Linked DNA regions of Caenorhabditis elegans. Changing the gene in region 1 together with any one later gene gives a genetic interaction. Each region holds a gene or a part of one and is shown on either strand. Other genes may lie near its edges. The genes, in order: cdk-12, ark-1 and lin-12.

Region 1 (10,757 bases):
TTTTTTCCAAAAATTCAGAAATCTACTTTAGAAAAAAGATCTTCAAGAAATGTTACATCTTTCGAATTTCCGGGAAAAAATCGATTTTTTTAATTCTAAAATTAGACAAAAACGTTTTTTTTTCAGATTGTTTTTCTTTTCCGAAAACTATAATTTCAGAAAGGATTTTCAATTGACTTTATTTTCAGAAAACTGGAAAATAAAATCCGAAATCTTTATTTCTTCCAATTCATCTCCAGCTTTACCTCGTGGATGTGAAGTTGCACGAATACTATGTCCACTTCCACTTGAACCTTCTGCTTGTCGCCCAAGACGAGCTGATTTTTTCTGCTTTTTGCTCCACATCTCATGGCAATCCTGTAACAGGTTTTTTTCATTACCCATCCTGTGATTTTTCTCCAAAAATACGGTACGCGGTCTCGAAACGACAGATTTTTGTTAAAGACGAATATTTGTGCGCCATTAAAGAGTACTGTAATAACAAACATTTGTTTCTGAGAAATTTTCATCGTTTTTGTTTTAAAAAATCGATGAAAATTCAGCAAAGCAACGAGAGTTTAAAACTACAGTAATCCTTAAGAGCGCACACCTTTTTGAAACAAAACTTTGTCGTGTTGAGACCGTATTCTTCGAGCACGGTGTGATATTAACCTGATGTTGAGGTAATTTGAGTGGTTGAACTGTCGTATGTTCCAAACTTCGAATCCACGGATGATTCAGAGCTTCTTTTGCAGAAATTCGTTTTTCTGGATTCAAAGTGAGCATTTTATCGAGTAAATCGACAGCTTCACGTGGCATAATGCTGAAAAATTGAAAATTCTAGTTCCAGCGGAATATATGACATTCTTACTGCTCAAACTCTTCTCGAATACGTCTCTGATAAGTTCTCTTCATTCGGAATGTGTTCCATCCAACCAATTCGGTTAATTCAGGCCAATTATCCACATTCGGTGATCCACAAACCTTACTAATCAACTCGAGCTGTCCAAATTCATTATTTCCATTGAAAAGCGGTTTTCGGGTGAACAGCTCGCCGAGCATGCATCTAGAAATTGCATAGATTATTTCTTTAAAAGGTTGTCACTTTTTTGAAATTTCCCAATTTATTTTGGAAAAAAATCATAATTTGTTTTGTTGAAAATTCTAAAATTGGTTTAAAAAATATGAATGTTAGAAAAATTCACATTTTTCGATTTTTCTGAAAATTCATAACTTCAGAAAATATAAAAAATGTAGTTTGTTAAGTTTTCAAATTTGCAACAAAAAAAATTTTTTAAGTTTTTTTCGCCACTCACCCCGTACTCCAAACATCAATTGCAGGCCCATAACGTTCATCACCCAAAAGTAGTTCTGGTGGTCGATACCATAATGTGATAACCCGATTTGTATATAATCGTGATTCCTTCTCCCATAGTCGTGCCAGTCCGAGATCAGCAATCTTCAGCTCGCCTCTGCAAACAATTTTCAAAATTATTAAAGTTCTGATTGTTTTTTTTTTTGAAAATCGCGTAACGAAAAATTTTCGTTTTCCGATTTCAAAAAAAAACCGGAATTCCATTAAAAATTGATTTTTATTGGAATTTAAGTTTTTTCCTACTGAATTGCTCTTTTGAGCTGAATTAGTATGTACTACTATTTTTTATTAAATTGAAAAAAAGAAATATTTTCCAATAAAAATCTGTTTTTAATTGAATTCAAGAAGAAAAACTAACTTATTGTTCACCAAAATGTTACTGCATTTAATATCCCGATGTAAAAATCCCGTATTGTGAATGTAGGCGAGTCCCTGAAAGTAAAAACGTTTTTTTTTTTTGAAAATTATTTCTTTGAAAAAAAAAACGAACTTCCAAAAGCTGCTTGAACAATGAACAAATCTGATCCTTATTAAAATCGACGAGCTCTTTCGATTCAAGAAGTCCTATCAAATCATGATCCACATATTCGAATACTAAATAGAAATTAGCTCTCGTTCTTTTCAGCTCATCCATCGAAATATCATCAATCACAATATCCATAAGACGGACGATATTCTTATGATGAAGCTGTCGAAGAATCTTGATTTCTCGTATTGCAGTGATTGGGAATCCTTCTTTTTCATTTTCCAATCGTACTCGTTTCAGTGCTACTTGTTCACCTGGAAATTTACAGCATTAATATTGATTTTCCAAAAAAAAAAATTAGCTTACCAGTGAGATTATTGACTGCTTTATAGACTTGTCCATAAGTTCCCTCGCCAATTTGATCAAGCATTGTGTAGTGAGTCAAATTTGTCTTGTACCATGAATCAGAATCTGATGGTCGATTTGTTGCGTGTCCACGGCGGGTTGTTATTCTGAAATATTTTAATTTAAACAAAAAAGAAAACCTAAAACATTTATTTTTAAATCTTCTAAATCAGGAACAAAAAAAACTGTTCGTTTTTCAATCTTTTGGTTTAGCTCGGTTTTTTTTAAATTAAAATTTTTCTGTAAGAAAAAAAAACGACGTAAACCGTAACATAATTATTGAATTCCGTATGAGAAATAATGATTTCGGAGTGATTTCAATTTTTCTTTCTGATTAGCTAATAAAAACCAGAAAATCGCATTTTTCGGTATTTCGATTAAAAAACAGAAAAATATGAATTTTTTTCCGATTTTCTGGCATTTCTCAAAAAAAGCAACAAAATAATTTCAAATAACTTACACAGGCCGAGTGGCTATCCGTTTACTATCCGGTGGCATTGGAAGCGGATCTTGACGCTTTGAGCTTGATGCTCCACCATCGGTTTGAGGTGGTGGTGGTGGTATGGAGCTAAGTGAAAAGCTTGCAGTAGCGGCAAAATGAATGTCAACCGATGGTGGTGGAATACTGAATGGTGCTGGTGGTGGACGAGGTGGAGGCGTCATGAATTGACTATTTGGAGGCTGAAAATTCGGGAATTCGGGCATTTGTATCAGTTTTTGATGGAATCCAAAACTTACTAATGGTGGTGGTGGAGGCTGTGAGAACATTGGCTGGAATGGATTAATATTGAATGATGGTGGAGGTGGAATCGCTGTCACATTCATTCCATTTGAAGAAACTGGTAGATCCATCTGCAAAAATCAAAGTCAATTGGAATCTAATAGGTTTTTTAAAAATTTAATTTCTGTTGTTTTTTTTCACGATAGCCAAGAGATTTTTCGATTAAAAAAAGAAAGTCGAAAAAAAATTGTATCATATTTTCCGATATTTAGAAAAAAAATCGAATTTTCGAAAAATAGCTTTAAAAACTGACAATTTTCCTCTGTTCAAGATAAAACAAAATTTGATAAGTTTTGAAATTGCTTGTTAATTTTCTAAACTTTTTTTTCGAAAAATTTTCGTTTTTCAATTTCAAATTTTTCGATTATTTCTGAAAGTGTGAATTTTTTTCTGTTTGTTCTCATGACAACCAATTCTCTCGAGATTAGTTCTAATAGGAAATTAGTTTTTTTTCTTACACATATATAGCTATTAGTCTACAAAACGAGAACTAATAAAAACTTACAGCTTCTCCTGAACTGCTGGACGAAGAGCTGCTGTGCTTTCGACGCTTTCGGCTCTTCTTTTTACTTTTCGAAGAGGATCCATAGTCTCCGTGCTTCTTCAACTCACTCATTAATGAGGTATCCATTCTGCAACTTTTAACAATTGGTGATATGCTGAACTTTTTTCAAATGGAGTATATAATTTCTAAAATTTGCCAATTCTTACCCAGATGACTCCATCACCTGTCTTCCCCGTTCGTCACGATGATTATGATTATTCTGCCAGCCACGCATGATATTACAGAAGAATACGTCTAGACGGTTCTAACAAAAAATTGAAATTGTCGCGACGGTAACGGAAATTTGAGTGTCGCGGAGGGGGCACCCGTTGACAGGAGAGATCGAAAGAAGAATGGACAACGGTGAAGCTAACAGTGTGAGAGAGACGTAGAAATTTCAGATGCCGAGATATTACGAGGCGACGGAGAGACGCAGTCTGATGGAAAACGAAGGGGACGGCGCCGCCGTCAAGCTTCATTCACCGATGGCGCTGGTTGGAAGTGACAGAGAGATAGGAATGCAGAGAAACGGGGACCCAAACAGACTCAAAGGGTGTGCGCAACGATGGAGAAGGAGTGGGGGAAAAAGTGAAGAAAGGGTCGTTTCGTCGTGTTCTCTACGTCTCAATTGCACAGGAACCGAATGTTTTGGTGGTTGTGGCATCTTCTTCATTTTTTTCTTTTTTATGGATATTTTTGTGGTGGAAAAAGGACACGAGGAAATAGACAATTGGATGAGGAATGGGCATACGATGAGAGTGCAAATTGACGGGCGGAATGTAAATCGACCAGTTGAATGGACTTGCCGATTTTGGTATTGAATAAGCTTTCTATCACACAGGTATCGGTGAGTTTCTCATTTAGTCTTCGAACGTTAAATGATTAAATCAGCGGATTCGGAAAAATTGATCATACGGTTTGGAAGCTTGTAAAACAAGAATGAATCACCCGTCTGTGAGAGGACACATTGAAACATTCAGAATTATAATATTCTATAAACCTCTGATTCCAAACTATCAAATGTTGCAAGATGAACAATATAATAGAAGATTTGTTGTTAATGACCTAGTTCAATTGTTGATCCAGTTCGAGATGGCTATCAGTTCTTGCAAAAAACGAATCAACGAGATGATAAAAATGGACGTAGAGAGAAAACAATGTAGTCGGGGAATGGAGAGAATAGCCTGGTCGCCACAGAATTGATATTAATATCAATAGCCATAGCGTGAGCCTCATTCTCCATTTTTTGCCCATTTTAAAACCGATGCTTATTGAAAACCCGTTGCAATTGGTGACCTTCAGGGACACCTGCCTCACACTTTCCCCTTTTAAAAAAGTGAAATGTTATGGGAAAGAAAATGGTCAGAATACGGTAGGTTTGTGCAAATGGTCAGATATTTCAGTTAGCTTAAAGCTGCTATAGTAAAATTAATTGGAATATATCTCAACGTAGATCTTATGAAAAGTAGTGCTAGTTACTGACAGTTTGCCACCAGAGAAGCTCGTGTATTGAACACGTGACGTCTTTTTAGATTGGGATGAAGTTGAACGGATTCGTAAAATGTAATCAAGTAGCGCTTTTCAATTGAAAATGCTAAAGAATTTTATCAACTAGAACAAGGTGTGCAGCGATTCATAAACTATGTTCTATCTGGAAGCTCCTCAGGATTCCGACTGGTTGGATTAAAACTTCAAATACAAAACCGCACCACACACAGTCAGAACATTTCGAGCTTTGTAGTAGAAATGATCCAGTGATCAGAGTATGTGATTTGGCACAAGTCAGAAAAGGGAGGAGTCACACCCCAGCACAGCGAAAACACCATCAGTTCAGCGCCCCGCCTTCCTCTCTGAGTCAGACAATGTATGGCAATCCTGGCGACTATTATTCGAATATTTGCGAGAAAACTATTGGGATATTAGCAGGCAAGTTTATCTTTTTATGATTCCATCGCTTGCTCTACAAATTATCGATTTTAATCCAAACTTACAGATCAGATGACGACGATCCGGACGAATTTCTCCTTTTGCTTTTCTTCGAAGATCCACTTCGTTTCGGTGATCGATGCCTGCTTCGACTACGGCTTCGTTTATCTCGTCGTTTGTTGTAGTCTTTGCCTTTCTTTCGATAGCTGAAATCGTTTCGTCCACGGTCGCGACCACCACCGCCACCGCCTCGGGACCAATTCCTGAAACTAGCTCACCTTTTACAACTTTTTTGGAAAAAGTTAAAATTTTAGCTAAAATCTCCAATTTTGACCACTTTTCCCAGTCGCAGCGGTCGGATATTAGCTTTCATTTTTCGGTAGTTTATCTCATATTATTTTGTTGATTAGGCAACATTTAAAGCCCGTAGGTAACCAAAAATCGCCGGAATTGGTTACCTTTCAACTTTAAATTTACTTTAATCAATGAAAAACGGAAGATAAATCACCAAAATATGCAATAAGGAATGATAAATCGATAAAAGTTTTCCGACAGTTGCGTCACGAAAAAGTTGGCGAAGTTGGAGATTTTAGCTAAAATCTCGTCATTTTTTCGAAATTTTGAACCGCCATAAAAATGTTGAGATGTCTTATTACGAAATTAGTTCATTTGAGCATATTTTGAGACTATACAGCCAAAAAATCATGCGAATGACGCAATTTTCCGATAATAACTTTAACTCTGCTACAGCATTTTTAATTGAAGAATCCAATTTTCAATTAATATCTGGAAAAAGTACCTTTGCTTGTACTGTGGAGAAATTGAATCTTTCGAGTCTCGATCTCTCGGTCTCACACCTTGTCTCGAACTTCCTCTTTTGTCTTTTGAATAAAATCTGGAAGGCGATCCACTGTGACTGCGAGTTCGTTCCCGATGTCCATAGGAACCTTTTCGATCTCTCTCGTGTGTCGAAGAACCTGGCGATATTTCCATGGCTGAAAATGATAAGAATATTAAAGATTTGAGATTAAATATGAGAAAACAAAAAAAAATAAACGACACAACGACGACAAAATATTGAAATATAATGTTAGAACATGAAACTGGAAGCGAAGGAAGAAAACTGGAGTTCAATTGGATTTCTTGGTTGTTTCGAAGACTGACCGTCTTGTTTGGAAGGATAACAACTACTATTCGATCGATCACTGTTTGCCAAATTCGAGCCGTCAGTCGACGAGTCGAAACTCATTGAATCTGCAAAAATTCGAATTTGACAGGCTAACAATTTGTTAAATCCTTTTCAAAAATAAATAATCATGAACTTACAACGCTATTCTTCTATCCGGCAGCAATATGCGTCGAATTTGGTCTGAACTTTCGTATGAAACCAACTGAAATCATGCGATTACAGGAAAACAGTTTCAATCAATAAACACAAGTGCATTTTTCTCACGTTGGCTAATGAATTTAATGAGAAAATATTATGGGATTTTGAACTAAATTTGTTATTTCGCAGGATATTTAGATTTTTTTAAGTTTTTATTCTTAAAATATCAATAAAATATTAAAAAAGAAAGGAAAAAAGAGAAAAAAGTCGGATGGCATCGAAATTGATTGGCCCCGCCTACGAAAACCGTGCGGCGCTTGCATTTTCTTTCTCTCGTCTCTCTCACATTTGCACACTCTTTCCTTCAGTGGGTGGCGCTTATGTCGAGTTTTTCTAGATTTTCTTCATTTTCAGGAGAAAAACTAGTAAAACTGATGCTGGAATTTGCTCTGAACAATTAAATAACTGCAATCTCATAGAAAAATTTAAATTATCGATTAAGAGCTCGAGAATAGTCAATTTATTGTAGCTTTATCGTGCAAAACTGCTCGAAGAAGGAATATTGAAAGTTAGTGTAATAATACAAATTTGAAAAATACTTTTTTAGAACCTCGGAATGAGATGTTTCAGGTGTCCCAACTTTGTATACAGAATGGATCGCAGAAAGAGTTGGATCACGGGAGCTTTCAGCTGATTATTATTCGGATTAAAGCTGGCCTGAAATTAACCTGCAGTCAAATCAAGAATGGCTCTTTGAGCAATTGCGCCGGGTCACGTTGGATTTTTTTAAACTTTGGTAAAGCATGTATTAATCAAAAATGATCATTTTAAGAACATATCTTATTAGCTAAATGTGAATTTTTTGGCGGAAAACTAAATACTACCAGGTCTCAAAACGATCGAAACTTCAATGCTACCGTCCCTAAAAGTATTTTGCAATTTTTTTCTCTTTTTTGAACAAAAATTTTAAATTTGTATTACCCAGTAGCGAAATAATGTGATTTTCGTCCCGAAAATACGGTACTCGATCTCGACACGACACATTTTTGTCAAACGCAATGATAATGCGTATGCTTCTTCAAAGAATACTGTAGTTCGAAACTTGTTGCTGCGGGACTTTCATCGATTGTTTAATAGTTTTTTAGTTAAAAATATATGTATTTATTGAAAAAAAAAATTAAATACACTAATTGTAACAAATCAGCAGAAAAATCATCAAAAATCGGCGAAAAGTCTTGCCGACGCCGTATTTTTGGCGCAAAAAACGTAAATTTTTGCATTTCGGTAATATCAAGATCCATATTGAAACTCGTTTTTTGTTTCAAGTTGTAGCTAACGGGTACGGTAGCTACGAAGTTTTGATCGTTTCGAGACCGGGTACCGTTATTCTGGATGAAAATATTGACAATTCCGAAACTGGGTAATATTTCTAACGGCCCATGATCCAAGGGTACATCGACATAGGGTACACCGAGCGATTTTTTGTTCAGAGGATACAATCATTCTTAGGGTACATACATCATCGAATGGCCGTTATACTGTTTGAGATAGGCGATCTGATGCTGCTAGTACGCTTCCTCAAATTGTCTGGAAGTTTTGGATATTCAACTTTTCAAAAAACCTTTCCAACATTTTCGAGACTACTTATTTTCCAAATTACCTCTCTCTTGCCTACTTCAAACATATTCTTTTCCATCAACTTTTCCTCCTCATCATCTCAATTCCTAAAAATCCTCCGAATTCACTACGTCTCTCGAATTCTCTCAATATTCCGTTATTGTCTATCCCGAATGACCTCATTCGAGGTCGTTCGCCCCCAGTCTCCATGGGCGTCAGTGTCCACTTCTTCTACAGTTTCTGGAGTGACACTGTCTGTGTCTCCTTGAACTACGTACTCTCTTCGTTTTGAAAAAGGATTCAGAAAAGAGGAGAGAGAAAGAAAACTTTTACCTCGTCTTAAGAAATACTAAGAATAATCCCGAGATTGTCACTACTTTTTTTTGCTGAAGACAGACTATTTGGAAACAATCTTCAGTTTCAACAAGTTTTCTGTATTTTTCTCTGTTTCTCTCCCTCTCTATCATTCTTTAAAAGAAGATTTGAAGTCAGGTAGGTCGACATTCAACACTTTAAATATTCATGTATGTAATTACTTCGAAATTTGGATACAAAACGTTTTTTTTGAATTGCAATTACACCACGCCTGTTCTTCATTTCTACACAACTTTCGAAGCATTTATCTCAGTAATTTGTGATAATATCAAAAGGTTGTCAACTACAAAATTATAGGAAAAATATTTTGAACATTTTTGCTGTTGACACTTTTTCTATAACATTTAAGATGGCCGAGATGCGAACTGTTAACGTTGAAGTAAGGATCCAAACGACCTATAAAGTTATTAGATTCATAATTGTACATACAACTGTTTATAAATCAATCTTCTAAAAACTATAAGGTTATGCATAATTTTATCAAATTACTGTAGTTACTGTAGTACCAAAAACCTAATTCTGAAAGACAATAAGAAGTTTTTGCAATGTGTCGTGAAGCATTGGGTTACGGTATCGGTACCATTTACTATGTCATAAGGTCGATGAGTCACAGGACGACTCCTCCCCGCTCTGCCGGCTCCCTTCTGTAAAATTTTTCGTTTTTTTTTTGATACAATAACCAGTAAAGAACGGTTTTGAAGTTATTTTATTTTATTCTAGCTTAAATACAAAACTATTCAAAAAAAATTTACTGCGTGCAATTTCAGTTCAAGAACATGTTTCTGACTATTTCAGGCCTAGTCCAAGTTAGGAGACTTCCGGCCAAATAGCAATGCGCGGAAGGGGCTGATTGGTCGGATTTTCCGCGCAAATTCAAATTTTCTGGGCTTTTATGTATTTTATAAAGTCCAGTTTCACTATCTATTGTTTACCCAATTATAGGTCAAAACATGACACCCTTCTTTCTTCATTACAACACATTTTCTTCTTCCACTCTCGTAGACAGTTCTTCAATATATATTCTCGTTTCTTCTTCTCTTTTTTCACGCCGATTCTCTTCTTTTCAATACCTCTATTTGGAATACAAATCACGTATTGTAGACAAGTTCTTTTGTTTTTTTTTCTCTGAAGTGCCTCTCGGGTTTGCCTACTATTTACGTGTGGCCTCATAGCCAGGAAAGGATATACAAATGGGCAGAGGAGTTTTGTTTTATTTTCTATCTGTTGCAAGTTATTTAATTTTTTTTCAAAGAGTTTATTGTAAAGATAAAGTGTATTGAAATTGTTTAAAATCTGTGAAAAAAATTGGCAAAAGGGAATTAGCTCACAATTCAAAAAATCTTACTCCAACTGAGCGTAGTGTACACCTATTGCAACAATCTCCCATTCAAAATGTCCTTGAAATCTCCACTACCGTTATGCCAATTTCACACTTGCCCAACAAACAAAATAATTGAAATTTTTAAATTTAGAAAATTAAATTTTTTTTTTCGTTGGAAAAAATGAGGACTAGAAGGATTACAACAGCAAATCGGTTGGATTAAATTGGGATTTGGAAATAGCTTTTTTTGGTAAACAAACAGTAAATTGTTCTGGTTTGTGAACATTTGAAATTCGTGGTTTTGTAATTTTATGTTTATGTTATTCTATTTATAAATATCTAAAAACTATTTATATAGCGCTAAAAGTACCAAATATCACAGTAAAATTTTTAGAAAGATTTTGACGATTTTTATTTAAATTTGAAAATTGGGAAAATCTAAGTTTTCCTCTATATACTTCGCAGTCGGCCGGAAAATTCTTCTGTGATATTTATAGTCTAATTTTGGTTTTGAAATTTTTTTTTCTCAATTGACCAGTAAGATATAGTACTTTTTATGGAACTTATATATCTACTTCACTGGTCATTTTTGAAATAAAGTGACTAAATACAAATAAAAGAAAATTATTTTGAAATTAAAT
Region 2 (10,579 bases), on another chromosome or scaffold:
GTCACCCATTCAATTTCACAATGATTCCTTGTTTGTTTTTGTCTTCCGGTGTAAATCATGAATTAATCGTTTCATATTATTTAATATTTATTGTTAGGAAATTCCAAAATTTTATAATTTTTCCGGCGCTCGATTTCATTTAATGTTTAAAATGTTTACTTGATACTTTTAAAAATTTGGTAGTCCCGTTTTGCCAGTATAAAACTCACCGAAATCACCAGAAAACAATCAGATTTTTAAGACTTTTAAAACATTTACCTAGACCTTAAATGTTTTTCTAGGTTTTTCAAGTTTGTGAAAAGTTCCCATTTCTTGTTTCTCCTCCAAAACCTGTAGAAGACACAAGTTACCATTTAAACTTTAATACAATTCAAATTCTTGTCGGAAGCGATCAAAAATCTCAAAAAGAAAATCGTTTTCTAAAATCTCTCCGAACAAATGTGCCTATTAAGAACAACAACAGTCAAAGGGAGTAACAATAATGACTTATAATTGTTCGAAGGGGTTTGTTATGTGTATTTGTTTGTTTGTAGGATAGTCTCATTTTTAATTATCCTATTCCTTGTCTTTGTTTTACCCAAACGTTTCACCCGGTCAAGGCGTGCTGAGGGCGCCTCTCTAGTGGCCCGAAAGTTTCAGTTTATCCAAACATTCTGAAAGTTTTTACAACTGTTTTTATTATTCGTAATATCTCCCTCTTTTTGGACGAAATTTCGAAAGTTGAAACATATGCAATCGGTTATTCTGCAAACCTTTAAAATTAAAAAATTCGACGGTTCTTTTTTCAAGTTTCCAACACTTATAGTTTATTAAAATTTGACTTTTTCCAAAACTGAAATTTTTTAATCAGCTCAAAAAATTGTAGATCACCATTAACATATAATTAGTGAAAGCCACCAATTTTTTCTAGGCCATCAATGCAGAGCCTTTTATTCAGATTTTCTATTGATTTTTCTATTGGTACCTAAATAATGTTCCATTCTTCGGTCATTTTCAAACGGAAACCTTTTCAATTTCACTTTTCTCAAAAGCGCCACCTATATCCAATTATCTCAATTGATATAATATCTAAACGAAGAAAAAGATTTGTTCGTTTTGAATATGATAAGTGGGTAAAACCATCCAAAGGGGGAATAGTGTGTCAATTTATGAGAGACGGGTGTCTTCTTCTTCTTCAACAGATGATTCATGTTTGCCTAGAGATTCTCATTCTCTTACTCTCTCTCTTACGGCCAGTTGGGTATTCATTGTGTATTTGGGGGTGTGTTTGTCGGTATCTTCTTCTTCTTCATTTCTTTTCATCAAATCGTTTACGGTCTTCTCTGTTCAACAGTCTGCGTCTCTCTTAATTTAAGCCACATGCTCTAGGAGGTTTGATTATTCTGATAGTTTTTTTACTAAAAAATTTTTTCTATACTTTCTATTCTTCAAAAAAAAATCAAAATTTCATGAAAAATTTTTTTTGACTTTGCGTATTAGACCCAAAATTGCCCAAAATTATCAAACTTTTACCGAGCTGTTTGGAAAATCACTCAAAAAATTTATGACTTTTCAAAGAGTTGAAAAAATACCTAATTTTTTAAAGGTACATTTTTGGCCGATGGGTGCACAAATTAGGGGTGGGCGACAACTGCCGTTCGGCAAATTGATTTGTCGACAAATTCGACAAGTCGGCAAATTGCCGGTTTGCCGAATTGACGGAAATTTTCAATTCCGGCAATGTGCCGATTCGCCGGAAATGTTTAGAGGGATTTTTTATAAAACGGAAACACTGAAAACTAAGTCTTTTTTGAATTTTTTCCGCTTTTTTAAAACATATTTAAATAGAATTCGCTTACTTTTCAAAATAAATGTAGGAACATTCATGGGATGCGTTTAATTTTGCCATTTGAAATTGAATTTTTGAAATTTCCAAAAAATAAATGCGAAATTGTCGGAAATTGCCGATTTGCCGGAAATTTTCCATTCTGGCAATTTGCCGATTTGCCGATTTGCCGGAATAAATCGTTTGCCGCCCCCTGTCACAAATATAAAGAGCATTTAATAACATTCAGGTCAATTTTTTCTAGTTGTGTTTTTTCAAACCTAACGAACATTAAAGAAAATAATACACATGCTACATATGTATTTAAAAGTGTTCTACATCAAGTTAACCATGGCAATATAAATTTTAATGATGGTTTTTAACAACAAAAAATGAAAGAAAAGATACCGACAGACACCTATAAATACACTGAACTTTAGAACTTATCAATGAAAAAAAAACTTGGAAATGTGCTATGTAGACACCATGGTGCATCAATTGAAAAAAAAAACTGAAAATTGGGAAAAATTGAATTTTCATATAAAAAAGAATTAAAAAAAAACATATCCTGGCTTCGCAGTGTTACGCTATTCGAAATTTTGTGTGCAGTTTTTTCTGAAATTTTCTTTTCAGTATTTCATCTATGATTTTTTTTAGAAAAATGATTTTTCAAAACTTTTCTTTCATCTCGTGGCAAGACCTATCCGAATGAATTCGTGCGCCTTTTTAAAACCTTGCAAAAAATTCAAAAACTTTAGAATCTCCGTAACAATAAAGCAAAAGAAACTTTACATTCATTAGCTAATTGTATCTAACCGTCTGCGCCTCATGTTCGCTTGAAGTCATACACTATTTCAAAGTGTACTTCAACTACAACCACCAGTACTACTATTACAAGATATTCGCCCTTTTTTCTTTTTTTTTCTTTCTTCTCCATGTGTTTCCACATCCAATTTGATTGATGGTCTTTCCCGTTTTCTCCTTCATTTTTTCGGAATGGAGCTCCTTTTTTTATTCGATTGTTCTCGGGATATATGCAATATTAGAGTTTTTCTTTGTTTTTTACGTTTCCATGTAGTATGCTTTAATCCTTTCGCATTTTTCTGAAAATATTGCTTAAAGGCGCACGTAATTTTCCGGATGGGTCTCGCCGCAAAAAAAACAATGGGTAATAAATATCACTTATTGAAGCACTTTTGGAGCACATCCATATTTTAAAAATCAATGTATGTTGTGTTATTATCACAATTTTAAGTTTAATTAATTAAAGAAAAAAATTGAATCTACCAAAAACTTTATTCGCCGCGAGACCCATCTGGCTAAATCCGTGCGCCTTCGACTACAGTTTTCAGAAAATTGAGAAGTTACGATATTGTTTAATGAACCATGCGGCGATAAATTCTTTTCGAAATTTTTTTTCAACTTCCCGTCTTTCTAGTTTAATTCGAATTCAGAATAGTATCAGTCTAGTTAATGGTTTTTGCGGGTTTTTTATTTGAAAGCATTTTAGAAAATTTTATGGTAGCGCTTTCCGATTTTTATATTTTTTATTTATTTTCATGATTATCATTCGAAATGCTGAGAATACTAAATAGCAGAAATTGCAAGAAAATTTTCAAAGAAAAATCTAAATTTGTACCATACACGTTTGTTTCTCGTGGCGAGACCCAGTCGGAGAATTGCGTGCGCCTTTAAAAACATAAAATACGATACTTTTTCGATACATTTTTTTAACAGAAAAATGTGAATCGTCAATATATTTACATTCCGCAGTATTTCGCTGTAAATGCCTTAAATATTTTCTATTTTTTTTTAATTTCTATTTTCGAAAAATACTGAATTCTCCTATTGCAACAAACTTCCATATTTAGTAAGTTTTCAACACTACATAAATGTGTATTGGAAATGAATTGAAAAATAAAGGGAAGCACGCACAAACACGAATTTGTCGAAATAAATGAATTTTTGCCCGGTTCATTGCACGCAATTCTAAACATGCAGAGAGTGGAAGTGAGAGTGACCAAAAGTTTTTTTTGTTCAATGTTCCTGGGTCTCCTCTCTTTGCATGTAGAAATGTATATCCAATATCTTTTTTTGAACATCTTTTTTCCAAAGAAATGTTTCATTGATTTTTGTTGAAACTCAAATTTTTTAATTTTTTTGAAATTGATTTTTCAGTGAAAAATTGCTCCATTTTCTTAATTATTTATTAGTTTTCAAAAAAACTAGCAATTTCAGAAGTATCAAACACTGTACTCCTTAAAGGCGCATAGCATAAACTTTAAAATACGTGAAATCGTTTCGAGAACTGGCGGGTACGGTATTTGCTATTTTAAACTGTTTTTTCTTCATTTTCTGAACACGTGTCAACACATCCTCCCACGCCTTTCAATTCTGTTATTTTTCCGTTTAAATTGTGTAAAATTGACTGTAAATTCTAAAAATTGCAGGCAAAACAAACGTCAACCGGGGGTAGAAACAACGAAAAAAGAAAAATATTCGAAGAATGCGAGAGGAGCCGACGGCGGGTACCGCTGATGCGACGCTCAATAAACTGCTTCAAGCAGCCGATTTATCAGGGTAAGAGCTGGAAAATTAAGATTATTTGCTGAAAAATGGGGTTTTCAGAAGAAAAATTAACAATTTCTGCGTAAAAACCGAGATTCAAGTAATTAAAAAATAAAATTTTCAGCTACGAATCAGATCTCCGTCGAAAACTAAAACTACGAAATGCTGCCGATTTACAATATGTCGAAGAAGTCGATTTGTTGTCTGTTGGTGAGGATTTTTTTTTTAATCTCAATGAATAATTATTTTAAAAATACCGAAAAAATCACAGTTTTGTTAGTTTTCCACTCAAAAATAGAACAATAATCTCTGAAAAAAAACCAGAATAACTTCTTTAAAATTCTAAAAATAATATTCGACAAAAAATAATTAAATTTGTTTTGTTTTTTTTTTCTACTTTCTGCCTCTAAATACCATCAATATTTACACAACGATTCAATCGAAACAAGTGTTTATTTTTCTCATTTTTCAATCGTATGACTGCTCATTTTGTGGCCATTTATTTTAGTTTTCTTTTTTTTAATTTGAGATTTTTTAAAATTAGTTTATTTTTCTCTGAAATTAAATTAAAAATTGATCGGAAATTAAGAATTATATTTCAGAAAAAAATCCGAAAAATAAACTTACATTTTTCAGGAATGAGCCGCCCGGAGCAAAAGCGCCTCCGAAAAGAATATACAAAAATGTTTCCGTCTGGAATTTTTGGAAAAGTGAAAAAAGCATTCAAAAGGGCGGAAAGTTTGGATCGAAAAACTTCGAATTCAGTTGCAAATCAAGATGATAATGATCATCATGTAATTCCAATTGAAAAGTGAGCATTTCTGGGAAAAACGTGGAGCAAAATGGAAAATTAAAAAAAATTTTTTTAAAAACTCCAGAAAAAAAGATGTTTTGGCAAAAGATCATTTTTTCAGAATGAAAAATTTGAAAAAATCGAAAGAAAATTAATTTTAAAAGTATGGTATTTTCAGAAAAAAAAACAAAAGAAATAATTTTTTTTTTTCGAAGATTAAAAAATAAAAAATTTTTAGCAAATTTTATTCCTCTTCGCAAGAATAACCACCACATAAAAATATAAGTTATCTACAAAAAAGTGAAGAAAAATATCTAAAATTTAAAAAATCTGATTTTCGTTATTGAAAATCAGAAAAATCGGAAATTTCCAAGCAAATTTGCATTTTATTTATTTTTAGGTTTTAAATTTTAATTCAAGTTTCCTAGAAAACAAACTATTTATTTAAAAATTCCTTGTTTTCAGAAAAAAGTACAGAGGTTTCGACTTTCCGAGATTTTGCAAAATCGAAGAAAACTGTGTTTGCAAATTTGACATTACATCATATTATTTTTTCAACATTGAAAAATCTCTTTTAAAATTGCTCGATTTAATTTTTCGAGAAAATTAATTGAAAACTAAAGTTACAATTTTCCAGAATAACGCTTTGCAAAGAGTTGGGACAAGGAGAATTCGGGTCAGTTTGGCAAGCAGGATGGAAGAATTCAGCAGGAAGTGACGTCATTCAAGTAGCCGTAAAATGTGTTGGATCTGATAAACTACTTGCCACGTCATCATCATTTTTACAAGAAGCTGCAATTATGACACGAATGAGACATGAACATGTTGTTAGACTATATGGAGTTGTTCTTGATACGAAAAAAATTATGTTGGTAAGGATTTAAAAATTAAAATCTAAGCCGGAACAAATCTGGTAATATTAGAATTTTTTGTATATTCAAATTTTTTGTCATAAAACCGAAAAAAAATTTCAAAAAACAATGGAAAAAATATCGTAAAATAGAGTTTTAATGCAATTTTCGATTTTGCTAGAAAAACCCAGAATAAATATTAGATTCTCGTATGCCTAAACGAAGACAAACAAAGACCATTTTTACAGAAAAAAAAAATACCGAAAATTATTTTAAAAATTGAAATTTTTTATGCGACTTTTGAAATTAAAATTAGTATTTAAAAATTGTTTTTAATAAGAAATCTCTATAGAACCCTAGAGCTTGATTTTTTGCATTTTTCATCAAAAAAAGGAAAAAAAAACGGAAAAAATGGTCCAGAACGATGTATTCTAGCCTGAAACTGTCAAACTCACAGCAAAAATTGCGCACTTCTCCTCCTCGTGAGAAAGTTTTAATGATAAAAAATCATAAATTTTCGAAAAAAATTGAACATTTCAGAATTATCTAAAAGTTCAAAAATTATAACAAAAAATTTGCAGGTCTCGGAGCTCGCAACATGTGGATCTTTGCTGGAATGCCTTCACAAACCGGCTCTCCGTGATAGTTTTCCAGTTCATGTTTTATGTGATTATGCTGAACAAATTGCAATGGGAATGTCATATCTTGAATTACAAAGACTCATTCATCGAGATCTTGCCGCAAGAAATGTGCTCGTTTTCTCACCGAAACTTGTGAAAATATCAGATTTTGGACTATCGAGATCTCTTGGAATTGGTGAAGATTATTATCGAAGTGAATTTACACCGAATCTTAAGCTTCCTATTGCTTGGTGTGCACCGGAGTGTATTAATTTTTTAAAGGTATTGCAAAAAAACATTTGCTGAAATTTACCAAATTTTAATTTTTCCCCAATTTTGAACAATTATTCAATTTTCAGACCCCTTTTTGTTCGAAAATTTCACAAAATTTCGGCCTAAACTCCGATAATTCGCAAAAATAAATATTAAAAACGAAGAAACAAAAAATTCCAATAAAATTTTCTTTTTTTATTTCAAATATTACATTTCAAACAAAATTTTAAAAAAATGTATTTTTGAAAAGTTTTATTTTAAAAAAATATTTAAAATTGAAATGTTATAAGAATTTTTAAATTCATACAAAAACCGTTTTTATAATATTTCTAAAAATCTATAAAACATAATTCTTTAACATTTTTAAATTAATTTTTGAAAAGTTCTGAATTTTTAAAATTTTCCGAAAATTAATAAAATATATATTTCAAAATTTCCGAAAATTTAAAAATTCGGATTTTTAACATTTTTCATATTTTTTAAATGCTCAAAATAATTTACAAAACAATTTCCAGTTCACCTCAAAATCTGATGTCTGGGCGTACGGAGTAACAATCTGGGAAATGTTTTCCTATGGAGAAATGCCATGGAAAGGACGATCGGGAGCACAGATTCTTGAACTTGTCGACAGGAAAAAAGAGCTTCTTACAAGACCAAAAGCATGTCCAGAAGATATTTATGATATGTTAAAGGAAACATGGACACATCAAGTACAGGATAGACCCACATTTTCCGATATTGTCGCTAAATTTCCGGAAAGAAGAGCACAATCTGTGAGAGCTGTCGTGGATTGTAAAGATTCGGCCGCCGATCATTTACATTTTAAAAAAGATGATTTGATTGTTGTTATCAGCCGATCGTGAGTTAAAAATGACTATGAAATTCGAAAAAATTTTTACAAAGTTGTTTGAGAAATTTCGGAATTTTTGGAAGCAAAATTTCCAAAAAGTTTTCATAAAATTTGGAAATTGTTTAGAAACAAAATTTTACAAAAATTTCAAAAAAAAATTGCCAAAATTGTTTGTAAAGTTTTGGAATTTTTGGAAGCAAAATTTCCAATGATTTTCAAAAAGTTTCGGTAAAATTTGGAAATTTTTTAAAACATTTTTTAGAAAATTTTGGAATTTTTTGGAAGCAAAATTTTCACAAATTTCTAAAAATTTTTGGTACAATTTTTCGAAATTTTTGAAATTTTTAAAAACATATTTTCGAAAATTTTTAAATTTTTTGGAAACAAAATTTTACAAAAATTTCCAATAAAATTCCAAAATTTTCCAAAAAATTTCAAAAAAAATCCTGAAAGTTTTGTAAAATTCACAAAATTACAAAAATTTCCAAAAAAATCGAAAAAAGAACATTTTCTTGTTCCAAAAAGTTTTGATATATTTTTTGGAAAATTTTGGAAACAAAAATTTCCAATAAAATTCCAAATTTTCCATCCAAAAAAAAACAGTTATGATGACTTTTACGAAATTTTTTTTTTTGAAAATCCGGCAAAAATGAAGAAAAAACGTCGGAAAATGCTCTGAAATTTAAAACGAAATAATTTGAAACAAGTTTGAAATATCGATATTTAACATCTAATCTAATTTAAAAAAATGGCAAAAAAAAAACACTAAAAATATTAATTTTTCCCCAATTTTCAGACCAGCTCAATATCCTGACGGTTACTATTGGTTCGGATCTTTACGCAACGGAAAACTGGGATTATTCCGTCCAACGGATACTGTAGCTCATCTAGGATCCGAACCACCGTGCTCAAATGGAACAATTGAAAATGGATTCAGTGAGAAAGAAAAAGGTGGAAAAAAGAACAAAAAAGCTGAAAAAGAAAGTGAACGAGAACGTAAGAAGCTTCTGATAAGTGAACCAGTCGGAGATGTCCGTCACACGTGTCACGTGGGTATTGATGGAACTGCATTTGGATTACTACAATTGGATAAGAAGGCAATGTGCCCGACTTCATCGTCACCGTCAACGTCGAGAGGATCACAAGCTTCGCCTGCGCCTTCTCATGTTAGTTTCGCTGAATCAAAAAAATCGATTGAAAAATAGAAAAAAATTGAAATTATGTATTTTTAATTAAATTTTAAGAAAATTCGAATTCAAGAAAATTTGTACGGATTTATCTGATTGGAAAATTTGAAAAAAAATTCGAAAACCAAAAATACTATTTTCTGGGGAAGTCGAAATAACAATTCGGATTTTATTTTTTCGAAAAAATATAATTTCGATCTCCAGTTTTCAGAAAAAAGAAATACAATAATTACTTTTTTTCGAATTTCTGAAAAATCTTTTAAAAAAATGGTTTCAATAAGTTTTAAAATTGTTGTTCGAATCTATTAAGAGTAATAAAGGGGAAAATATGTATATAATTTTTCTTTTAAAAAAAGGAGCAAACCACAATGTTAAATGGTTTTCGAAAATGTTTTTTTCACAACAAAAATTATTTTTAAAAACGTTTTAATGGTAAAATCGAACTCACATTTTTTCCGAGAACAAAAAAAATCGAAAAATTGCAATTTTTGGTTTTTTTAGAGAAAATTGAAATATGGAACACAAAATGTATTCATTTTTCCGAAAAATCAGATTTTTTCTTGAAAAATCGATTGAAAAGTTAGCCGAAATCACATTTCTCAACAGCAGCAAAAAAAAAACTAAAATTGTGATTTTTTCAGAAAAAAAATCGGAAAATTAAAATAAAAAAGTTTTTTCGAAGCAAACGATTTGTCAGATAATCTAATTTACTTTTATTACGATTGTTAGTCGTGAAAAACATATACAAATAATAATAAGAATACAAACAAAAAATTCGAATTCGAAATTCGAAAAAATTACCAGAAACAAAACTGATGAAAATTCTATAGAATTGCTAAAAATCGAAACATTTAATTTCAACAAAAAAAACAAATTTTCCAGACCTCATCCTCCACCACTTCATCAGTACATCTCCGTGAAACAGTTGCCCGTAATGGTGTCCCAATTAAAGAGACAATGTCTCTTCGTGACGTCGGACCCCTAAGCCGTGATGCTCTAAATCTCCGGGATACTGTATCACCGCCTGTGGCTCGTGCTCCTTCACAACCACCGTCTTATTCACAGCCACGACCCCCTCCACGCAGTGTCTCTTCGGTTTCTTCTGGAAATCAACATTCTGTTCAAGTTCATGATCAATTCTCATCACTTGATCGATCGAGGGGATCTTTGACACCAACAGCTCCACCGCTTACCGCATCGGCAGCAAATTCACTGAAGGATCCATTAACTGGAATTTCTCTTTCAATTCCATCAAATAATCTGATAAGCTATATGGATGATCAGGAAGATGATCACCGATGGACAAGATCTCCAGGAGCAATTAGTCAATCAACTACACTTACTGCATTGTCATCAAGCAGGAAAGATCCCATCCCGGCACCACGTGGCCCAGTTGCAGCGGTTTATGCAAGAGGGTACGGGATCCTGAACAAGGCTGACACAAAAAATTATGATCTAAAAATGTTTGAATTTAGAAGCAAAAAACTAAAAAGTTCGAGTTTTTCAAACAAAAAATTTCGAAAAAAAATTGTTTGTTTGATTTTTGCACAACAATACAAAAATTCAATTTTTTTTTCCAAAAAAAAAAGAAAGAAAAAACTATACTTTCAGCCAATTTTTGACTAAATATTTA
Region 3 (10,328 bases), 4.7 Mb from region 1:
TCAATTGGAATTTTAATGAAATTGCTGAAAACTGCCGCAAAATCGCAATGTGCCAAGCGTTATATGCCGATTGGCATTCTAATATTTTTGTCGGTTTTTGAGAAGCTTCCCAATTCTTACTATTAAACGTACAGATATTTTGCGATTTAACAAATATTGCTCTATATTTTTATATAAATTTCTTGCAAAAACTGACAAGAAGTTGGGTGTCTTAAAAGTGCCTACTCTATATTTTCTACATAATCATAAATTAACCAACCGTATTCATACAAGTACTCCTATTTCCACATGCATTTTTGTTCTCTTCACATTCATTGACATCAAGTTCGCATCTCTCCCCCTTAAATCCATCTGGACATGCACATTTTGCTCGATTTCCAGCTCCAATACACTGTCCACCATTCATACAGACAGACGGGTAACACCATCCTTGTGTCTTACAGTCGTCTCCTGAAATGCTCTACAGTAAATCTACAGTAATCCTTAGTTCGTTAATCCCTATATTTTGTGGTTTCCCACAAGTATCAAATTCGTTCGCAACACAAAAAGAGGCACGGCAGTTGACATACATCACATCAAAAAGTTTGCCGACGCACCATGACAAACTCATTACAATCTTTAGACTACTTTGTGAAGGTAATACCGCGAACAAAATAGTTACTTGTTAGAAAATTGGGTTTAATTGAAATTCAGAAACATCAAGGATATCTCGTATTTCATGGAAGTTCGTATACCGTATTTCTTTTAACTTTGACTGCTTATATCTCAGTTGTCGTTTGTCCTATTTGAAAAATGTCAACGAAACATTTTAATGAAACATTTTTAATTTTTTCTACAGGTTAGTACTTGGTTATTAATTGATATTCAAAGATGTACCGAGATATAACCTTTCAAAGTGAAGTAGTCACAATTTCTTTTCTGAATTAAAATTTTTTATTACACTTTTAAATATATACCACTGCCTATTGCATGCCAATTAAGACATATCTTTAAGATGAGACTAGGTGTCAATCTTATTACTAAAGGAAACACGCAACAGTCATGATCTTTTAGATTATATCAATCCGACAACAGGTGGAGCACCTAGTCTCAGTGGGGTTTCCTTTCGGGTTTGCAACTACTGTGGAACGTGTCAAAAGCCCCAATAAAAGTATACCGTAACCTAGAATGTTTTGAATCTGAATTCATTTCAGAATTCGTTTCCCACGACCTTCTATTATCAAGACGTCAAGAAGACGACCCCCAGTAATTATAGAGTCATTTCGAAGATGATCGGTGTTGACGGGAAAGTCATACGGCTACAGTAATCCTGTCTCTGTTAAACTAACTATGCCCATCAATAATCCGTTAAGTTTGCTCAAGTGTACTGTGACGTAATCGGAACCGATAATTACAGGGCGCTATTAGTGGTTTGTTACACTTGTTTGTTCGGGTTATTGTTGCATTAGAATATGGAAGTACTTACCTCCGTAACCGGATGGACAGCTTGGTTTTAGTAGACTGTTTCCGTTAATGTCGCAATCTGAAATTTACTATCATAATTATTCTGTATATTAGAAAAAGTTAAGTCTAGGATATTTTTGTGTTGAACTGGAATAATTATCTGAATGAATAATTGTACTACAATAATCACAGTTCCCTACAGTATCCTGCATTACCACTACAGTACACATACAACATGTATCCACTAACCTCATTCCAATATCCTTTCAAAAAACAAAAACACTTTTTCAGAAACTACAGTACTCCTACATTACCCATATGAACTCAAAAGCAGACAGTTATTTTTAATATATAAATTGATCTATCCCTGTAACCATTCCACTTGTATATTTGCTTATTAGCCTAGTCGTACAATAACCAAATGTATACTTTCCCACGTCTGCCACTTCTTCTCCGACAGACTTCTGCTACATCAAATCCTATATACTATCATCATCTGCTCATCATTTCTAGGTCATTTATCCCACTTTTTCCCAAGAATTGGCAACACACACGAGGCGCCATCGGGTCGTCGCCCAATTCACCGCCCTCTTCACACATACCGAACATCAGACATAAATCGCGCCAAAAAGAAGCGCATCGACAATAGAGAAGCGCGCATGAAACAGAGAGGCTAGGAGGGGCAGATGACCTAGGAGCTATCTATCAGGCACCTTACGCGGTCACTTTTAACGCCGCCAACAAGACAAATGAGCTGAAGAGAAATGGAAAAAGATTGGCCGCGCTTCAATTTGTCCTCGATACAAACGAGTCATGATGAAATATTGAGGTGTTTGGTTGCCGTAACTTTGTTAAATATCTACTAACTACAGATTGATGAAGTTTGGAGCAATACTCATAAATGGTTTAACGGAAAACGATTAGTAAAATTTTTGAAAGTTGGGAATGGTAAGCGCATAAAGTTTAAAGCATAGTTTTCGTAAGCTTTCGAAATATGAGGAAATGCCTGCCTGGCTACCTACAAGGCAGCCTACGTCTGTTTCGCATAAATTACACATGTAGCCACAAACTTCCAATCTTCTAATGTCTTCAATTTTTGTTGAATTTTCAACATCAATCTACAGCAAACTACAGAGTTCAAGCTAACATTTAAAAAATTAGACGGTAGGCCGGCAAGTCAGCGTGAAGCAGACATTTAGACCTGTATACGCGTTGCCTATAGGCCTATTGCTATTATACCTGTGATAGCTTTAACAATGAGTAAGTAAATTCTTATTTTTTAATCTTCGAATATTTCGTTTAGTCTTAAAAATGATACAATTCCTAGTTTCTTAACTTCCATTGAATTTTCAAATCCACCTATTCACTTTCAAATTATTATTCACCCCCAACTTTGTCAGTTGTTTGCCACAATTCCACCAGGCATGTGCTTATGATGGATGGTGTGGTCAAAAAGATGACCGACAAAAGGGCGCGCGCAGCTGACCCTAGTTTTGGAATTTTGGGCCAAAAAAACATTTCATTCGCAACACCGCCACCATGGAGGGCTAAAAAAAATGAGTGATGGGTGTTTAGGTCCCTATGGGAATTGGGCAAAAAAGTGACCACTACTGGCTCATTGGTTTTGCAGGAAAATGAGATGCAATGGGAAGTGTTGTGTATAAGTTATTCAGCTCGAAATTACATTATCTTACCTTTACAGACACAGGTCTCCATCCGATAATCTTTGTCAAAAACACATTTCTCATCGGCTCCACATTTTGAAACATCACACTGTTGTTCACAATATTCACCACCAAATCCTTCATCGCATCTGAAACATTGGGAAGGGTTAGGGTTAAAGATTAAAGACGTCGTGCAGCCGAAAGGCACCGTAATCCTATTGTTTTATGGTTTTATGACAACTGATGGTAGGCTCACTCGACAGTATGTTTTGCCGACAAAACTGGGAACACGGCTGTAAAATTGTGAGGTGGCAACTGAGTCCTCATTTGTGATAAGATAAGCAATTTTGAAGACTATTCTTTTTCTCATTCAAAGTCTCAAAATGCCGAGTAAAAGTGGCATTCGTTGCAGTTTTCCGAAGTTGCCAATTGAAAGTAAAGCAATTTTCAGAAAGTGCAAACATTTTTCTATACTTCTATTTAAATTTTCGGGAAAAACTTTGACAGATAATACATCTGATAGGGAGTTCAAAACCAGCTACAGTAATCTTACAGTAACCCCCCATTGGTCATTTCTTTTGGGAACTTGGTCATAAATCCTACCCCATTCTTTTTTGTTTGATAAGAAAAATGTGGAAGACCAGTATTTTTTTGTCATTAAGAAGAATTCTCCCCTCAATTTCCCGTATTTTTCGGTTTTCCCATGGCAATAAACTACCGATTTGGGTGATTTTTTGGCGGCGGTGCGAGACCAGGAGGGGGAAAAGCTGCTTCTCTTTCGCATTTTAATGAGAATCTCAGCGGGTTAATTGCCTGGTTTTTCTTCGACTTTGAGACGAGAATTGGCAGGAAAAAAATGGCTGAGAATTGCTTTTCTGAAGTTGATTTATCCAAAACCCGACTTTTTCCAACTTTCCCATAACACCCTGAAAGTATTGTTTTTACAATATTTTCCCTCACTTTTTCCCAAAAAAATTGAAAGTTTTTTCTACAGCGAGGGACGACGCAGGTGTCTCCTCTGTGGGGTTTTTTCTCTCATTACTCGCTCATTTCTCTTGTTGCGCAAGTTTCGTAAATGGTGGGAACCCGTGCGAACAATGTCCTCCTATTAATTAACATCAACTATAAATTAATGGTGTGTTGTTCAAGTGACACGTGTCTCTACTTGAACCATATCACCTATCTTATCAGGAGCTAGCTGCTCAACGGAGAGCACATGCCGCTATAAATCAAGACGGATTACGTAATTATTGTTTGAAAAGGGCATGGATTATGGAAGAATAGTCTACTGGTACAAACAATGTTTTGTTATAATTTACAGTACTTCTTTTACTAGTATTGCACCTAGCTACTTAACTTTGTAAAGTTATAACTCGGTTAATTTCAAAGATATAAAAAGAATTGCCGTATTTCCTCTAATAGTCTTGAATAAAAGAATAATAGAGGAAATACGGTAACTACAAAACGGTAGCAAGAGAAATAACAAAAATTTGGTCAGTTGACAATTTTGTAAAGGAAATCCCATAATTCCTAGGAATATTCCTTACCCCCAATTTATTGCGTATTTTTAAGATTAGTTTTCAAAATGTGTAGATTTGTATTATTTATTTTACGTTGAATTAAAATTTGAAAAAATGTTTAAGTATTGTTAAGCAAAATCTTCACATACCTGCACCAATAAGAAGTTTGAGTTCCATTGACAGGTCCAGCATGGCAGTGACCATTTCTTCCACATATTAAGCCAAGACATGAGCCAATATGAAGCGATTTTGATAACGAGATAAGAAGAAATAAAAAACAAATCGTAGGGATCCGCATTTTTTGAAATTGAGCAAAGTCTGTTGAGCAATAGGGCGGACAGAGACAGGAAATTAGCTTTTAGATATGGATCATGTAGGTTCTGAAAATGGTTTTGAATTATTTAATTTAGTGAATTCGTTGTTTGAAAGTTGACGACAGTAAAACGGTATAGAAATGCAAAGGATCGGACCGTACTAATATTGCACCCCTGTTATTTAGTGTTGACAGCTTATATCTCAGTTGTCATTTGTTCTAAATAATAATTGTCAGCTGACAAAATATTTTTTCCATTGTGCAGAAAATCAGTTTTTGATATCATCAAAATGAGCGGAGATATTACCTTTCAAAGTAAAGTAGTGAGTTGCAATACTAAAAGAGGAATACAGTCATCGTCAACTAACAAACAAGGGCAAAATAGAAGGAAACAGGATCAATTCTTAAAACTATAATACTTGGCTCGAAACATTTTAAATATTTCGTGAGAGCTGTAGGAATATATTATTACCAATAAACGAAACCTAATAAAACCCAAACCTGGTAGCTTTTGCATTATCATTAATTAAGGATAAATAAATGCCAATCAAAAAATGGGTGGCTATTGTTATGTCTTCACCCAGTAAAAAGGACGAGAGAGGGCGAAGGGGTGGGGGTAGGATGAACACAAAAGAGAGAGAGACAGATGGCTCCGCCCAACTTGTTGCGGTCGCGGTGCGGCCACCAAGTAGACTTTTTTTTCATCGAGAAAGAAAAGGAGGAGAAGATGATTTTAAAATGAAACGACGATGTCAGATGGTTGGATGAAGTAGAAGTAGGAGGAGGTGGAAGAGAAGAGAGTGGGAACGGAAGGAAGAATGATCAAGATGAGGAAAACGAACTGCTGGGAACGTATGGTGATTTGCGGCTTTTGGGTCTTTGTGTGTCAGTTTTAGAGTTTTATTTCTGTTTATTTCTGTTTATTTCTGTTTATTCGGATACTTTATAGTTTTTAGTTTTATACATCAATACTTGCAAAAAATTTCTAAGCTTTGTTCAAAAAGTAATATCTTGGTTTTATCCATTTAGGAACAACTGTAAGATTGTATAAATGATTTTTAGCCATTTTATAGGCGGAAGAGATTTTTCATAGCTTTTCCTGTTCAAAAGCTGAAAGAGCTTGAAAATACTAAACACATCGAGTAAGAATTAGAAAAAAAAACAAATCAAAATATTGAACACGCTTTTTCCAAGGTGTTTTCTAATCTCTCTATTTGAATTACCTCCAAAACGAGAACTGCATGGCCAATCAGCAATTCGCTCTGCCCATTCTTCAACCAATCAGATTAAGTATGGAAATTCCGAAGTCGCTAATTGGTTCAAAAGTGGGCGTTTGTTTTTGGCGGGAATTCAAACAGATTTGATCATTTTTTGATTATTTTTTTAACTGTTTCACACAATTAAATATAACCTTATTCTCGACAATTAATTGCTATCTGAACCAAATTTGTTGCAAAAATTCACGCATAGTTGTTGCTACCAATTAACTACTATTTTCCCAAAACACGGAAATGATGGATGAGCCAACAGGAGCACAGGTGTCTGTTACTGTGGTGTCATATACATGTGACGTGACAATCAACCGGCAACTTTGAACTGTCGTCGACGGATTAGTCTCAAGACCTCTTGACTTGATTTATTGGCATGGGAACCCGCCAAGGAAAGGTTTCAAAAATAACAATATTGTTAATAAATGAGTGTAACATTTAAGAAAACATTTAAAAATGGCATTAACAATAGCTCTATAAAAACCTGGTTTTTTAGAAGGCCGTTATTAATTATCAGCTTTGGTGGTATTTTGTTTTAAAATAGTCAAATCTTAAAATTACCACAAAAAAGATAATAGGAAATCTTATGAAAATGAAAAAAATGTTGCTGAAGAAAATTCAAATTTCCGTTATATTGTGAATGGGGCTACCTTGTTCTCCTACTTTTATTTGCACAAGTGCATCATCATCTGTGTCCTTCTATCTCAACCATTCATGATTATTTTGTGTTTTAGTTGATTTTTTACTGATTGATCATGCATCTAAAAATAATGGGAAAATGTTTTCAAAACTAACCTTTTAGTGGGAAATTGTGAGATTATTAGCGTGGGCGCATGCCTCCCCAAAAAATGTTGTTATCAACGTACGTAGTAGTAGAAAAGAAGCCAAATGGAACAAAACGAAAAAGAAAAAGAAATCGAAAATATGAAACAAATAGAAAAGAATCAACATTTCGGCACAAGATGGCAGATATTGAATATTGATTGATTCAGGTACACTTATACAATCTCCAGTTGCACAGGTGGAATCGTCATATTGGACAATCTGGCAATATTTATATACACGAAGACCTTTGTCGATGGTTTATTGCTAATTCGATTACAATTTTGAGTCATTGTTAGGAAAGTAGAGGTTGCAGATGTTTATTGATCATTTCATAATTTTTATTAAAAGTTTTTTTTCTCTTTTCTGAAAATTCAATCCGATTTCAAGCATGCTAACTTTGAACATTTTTAGATTTTTCTAAATTTTCAGTCAGTTTTGGTAATTGAACAAATTTTTCAAAATGACTTTCTGAGACATTTTGAGCCATGTCGCAGAAACCCTTACAATGCTTGAATATAAGCCTTTGAAATATAATTAAAATTTTAAAAAATGATGGAAAATCCATTTTTCATTCTTCTGGCCAACTTCCGAAATCATGATATGGAAAAACAGAGTCATCTACACTTTTCGACTGGAAATGAATATCTTAAGATTTAAGATTTGTTAAGATTTCGAAATTTACTTGAATTATAATGTTCAACAGCTTTAGCACTAGAAAATGATATTTTCTCATTTCCCACTGGTGTTACTCCAAATTAAGTTGAGCATAATAACTTCTATCATTTGATACTTTGATTCAAGTACGGCTCCTTCGAAATTTCAATGCATAAACTCGCAAGTTTAGAACTCCAGAAAATGTATGAGGTTGGTTAAGACCCCAATTTCTTCTTCCGGTTTATTTGTGCACAATGATGTAACACGAGAGAGTGTTACCATAACTTTTCTCGACTTTATACATTAATCTACAGTAATCCAACAGATACGTGTTATGTTAATCCTTCCGGATTCTGTTCAACATATAGTGAACTGACTGAGTTAATTTTTAGGGCAATAAATCAATCTATGTAACTGTTTGAATGAATCTATAAAACTTGGGTTGGAAACTTGGGTATTTGACATTTTTTATGATTTGCCATCATTATTTAGAAAGTGCTTCAAAGAATCACCGCTTTGTTATTTATGAAGAAAAACATTTTGACCTCTTTAATACCACAAATATTTATTCAAAAATATTATTCAAAAAAGAAAACCGGGATCATACTCTGTAAAAGTGAGAAATAAAACATCATATTTCCAGTATTCGTCTGCTCCCTACAACTCGAACAGTTCATATCGAAATTTATTAATTTTAATAATGTTTGATAAAAAATTGAAAAATTTTCAAAAGAAATGCCGGGAGTGAGACTAATAGAAGAAATGCGACAGATATCAAATTATATACAGTAAATCGATTTTTTTTCATGCTCCGACACCAGGCGCATTTTCATTTTTCTTTGACATATCCACAAGTTCCAACGATTTATAGACTTGTGACTCAATCTTCTTCCCATTTAACTTCTTCTTTGTCCATTTGAAAATAGTATCAGCAATTCCACTGATTAGCAAGAAGAATAAGAAACCAAGTAGAACAAGAGCACAGCACCATTTATCGATTTTTTGATTGTATTCGGAACGGGTGTGGTCGACGAGACAGCTTCCTCTGAAAAGTTATATTTCCTATTGATTGTGAATATTGGAAGGGGAACTAAAGATTCAATGAATCTAAATTGAGAAAACACCGAAATTTCCATTGAAAATAAACTTACTCTGGGCAGAAATAGTGTCCAATAATCATGAATCCATCTCCTTTGTGATAAAAGGTCTTATTAAGATGACTAACCCAATCCAGATTCGTTGTCACCGGCATAAAATCAGTGGAATTGAAGAAATTATCAATTTGAAACTCGACTCTTTCCACTGGAACATCAAAATGTCTTGAAATCTGTGCAGTGTTCTCCATGATACTGTAGTATTGCATTTCATTGTCACGGAATGTTACGTGGCAGTAAGAGTCACAATTGATGACAATAAATAAATGAAATTGCGAGATTACGGTAGGTAGAGTGAAGATCAATATAAGCACAATCATGAGGTGCGGTTGGCTGGGAAAAAGAACGTTTAGGTGTTAAATGGGAACCATAACCAAAAAATAAAAAAACGAAGAAAATAAAACGGGACCGAAAACCCATAACACGGAAGGTGCTCCATCTCATAAAAATACAAAAATAAAATTTTATTTTTATATGGGATGACATGAAATGTGAATAAATAATAAAATACAGTAAACTCGGGAAAACGTTTAGAAATGGCTCAGATAAAGCATGGGACTTTCATTTGAGAAAAAGTTGAATCATTGTTTACAAAAATTTACAAAATTTCGCGATTTGAACACAAATAAAAATTGATACTACTTTAAAATCATTCTTAATGTGCAAGTTCGGCTGCCTCAGTTAATCTTAAAGTGTCACGAAGTTCGACAGCTTTTCGAGTTTTTCGAAACCCGAGAAACGAGACGTATACAGTTTGTAGCGCGAGTCCAGCTAAAACAGAAATACAAAAAGCTGCAAGTGAAACAATGACCATGAAACGACAACTTCCATTGCAAAGTGGAGTTTGCGGGCAACCGTATCTGAAATTAGAAATTAAAAATTCTTGAGCATCCGGTTTTCCTCAAAATATCTCACATAATACCTCTTTACATCTTAAAGTCGTGGGTGCTAAATTGTGTGATATCCAAAAAAGCTAACTTTATTTCAGAATTATCCTGATCAAAACGACGCATTTGGCGTGAAACAGATGAGATTTTGTTGGCGCGAGAGACAAAAATCTACCAGCTTTGAGAGGAACTTTGGTAACTGTCTGTCAACAATTTGATCAATTATTAAAGGTCGGCAAAAAGTAGTAAAGTGTTTGGTAGGAAATTATCAAGTGAGTCAAGTTATTTAAATCATAATTTTTCAATCTATAATTTTCATTGAAAATTTGATCACACTTTTTTACTCAATGTCCCTATATTTTTCTCATTTCCCAAGTTTTCCCTGCTTAAAATTCCCATAAAGCATCTTACAATTGAGTAAGGTTTACCACATGTTCCATTAACAATATGTGTCAACTATCAAAAACCCACAATTCCCTCATTGAAAAAGTGACATGTGTGAACGATGAATCTTCAACCAAAAAAAAGTCTCACCGGCCACATGGCAAATTTCCGACAAGTTGAAGGGATCCGATAGTGTGGAAATAGGTCTCGGAAAAG

Evidence for each region.
Region 2: of cdk-12 (region 1) and ark-1, changing one enhances a phenotype caused by changing the other (phenotypic enhancement), as found in Caenorhabditis elegans (one large-scale study listed by BioGRID).
Region 3: of cdk-12 (region 1) and lin-12, changing one enhances a phenotype caused by changing the other (phenotypic enhancement), as found in Caenorhabditis elegans (one large-scale study listed by BioGRID).

What each region holds. Positions count from the first base shown.
Region 1 is NC_003281.10:4,329,108-4,339,864, reverse strand, and holds the start of cdk-12 (Cyclin-dependent kinase 12), read right to left. Parts: upstream 6,874-10,757; 5' UTR 6,803-6,873; intron 6,731-6,802; 5' UTR 6,641-6,730; intron 6,472-6,640; 5' UTR 6,470-6,471; coding exon 6,276-6,469; intron 5,740-6,275; coding exon 5,542-5,739; intron 3,639-5,541; coding exon 3,512-3,638; intron 3,078-3,511; coding exon 2,964-3,077; intron 2,907-2,963; coding exon 2,686-2,906; intron 2,333-2,685; coding exon 2,187-2,332; intron 2,135-2,186; coding exon 1,845-2,134; intron 1,787-1,844; coding exon 1,713-1,786; intron 1,452-1,712; coding exon 1,296-1,451; intron 1,046-1,295; coding exon 851-1,045; intron 803-850; coding exon 652-802; intron 358-651; coding exon 246-357; intron 1-245. UniProt on the Caenorhabditis elegans protein: Cyclin-dependent kinase which displays CTD kinase activity: hyperphosphorylates 'Ser-2' in the C-terminal heptapeptide repeat domain (CTD) of the largest RNA polymerase II subunit, thereby acting as a key regulator of transcription elongation.
Region 2 is NC_003282.8:12,624,698-12,635,276, reverse strand, and holds the start of ark-1 (Ack-related non-receptor tyrosine kinase), read left to right. Parts: upstream 1-4,254; 5' UTR 4,255-4,310; coding exon 4,311-4,384; intron 4,385-4,496; coding exon 4,497-4,582; intron 4,583-5,008; coding exon 5,009-5,183; intron 5,184-5,802; coding exon 5,803-6,037; intron 6,038-6,597; coding exon 6,598-6,918; intron 6,919-7,424; coding exon 7,425-7,768; intron 7,769-8,555; coding exon 8,556-8,925; intron 8,926-9,828; coding exon 9,829-10,361; intron 10,362-10,579. UniProt on the Caenorhabditis elegans protein: Probable tyrosine protein kinase which plays a role in vulva development, probably by acting as a negative regulator of the let-23/EGFR and let-60/ras pathway. Involved in the negative regulation of germline development.
Region 3 is NC_003281.10:9,066,464-9,076,791, forward strand, and holds the start of lin-12 (lin-12/Notch intracellular domain), read right to left. Parts: upstream 5,010-10,328; 5' UTR 4,926-5,009; coding exon 4,777-4,925; intron 3,257-4,776; coding exon 3,138-3,256; intron 1,523-3,137; coding exon 1,466-1,522; intron 451-1,465; coding exon 260-450; intron 1-259. Other genes in the region: F02A9.7 (CX domain-containing protein), read right to left, coding at 8,492-8,732, 8,839-9,161; F02A9.1 (uncharacterized protein), read right to left, coding at 9,497-9,701, 10,263-10,328. UniProt on the Caenorhabditis elegans protein: Essential signaling protein which has a major role in many developmental processes; involved in cell fate decisions that require cell-cell interactions. Probable membrane-bound receptor for putative ligands lag-2, apx-1, dsl-1 and osm-11.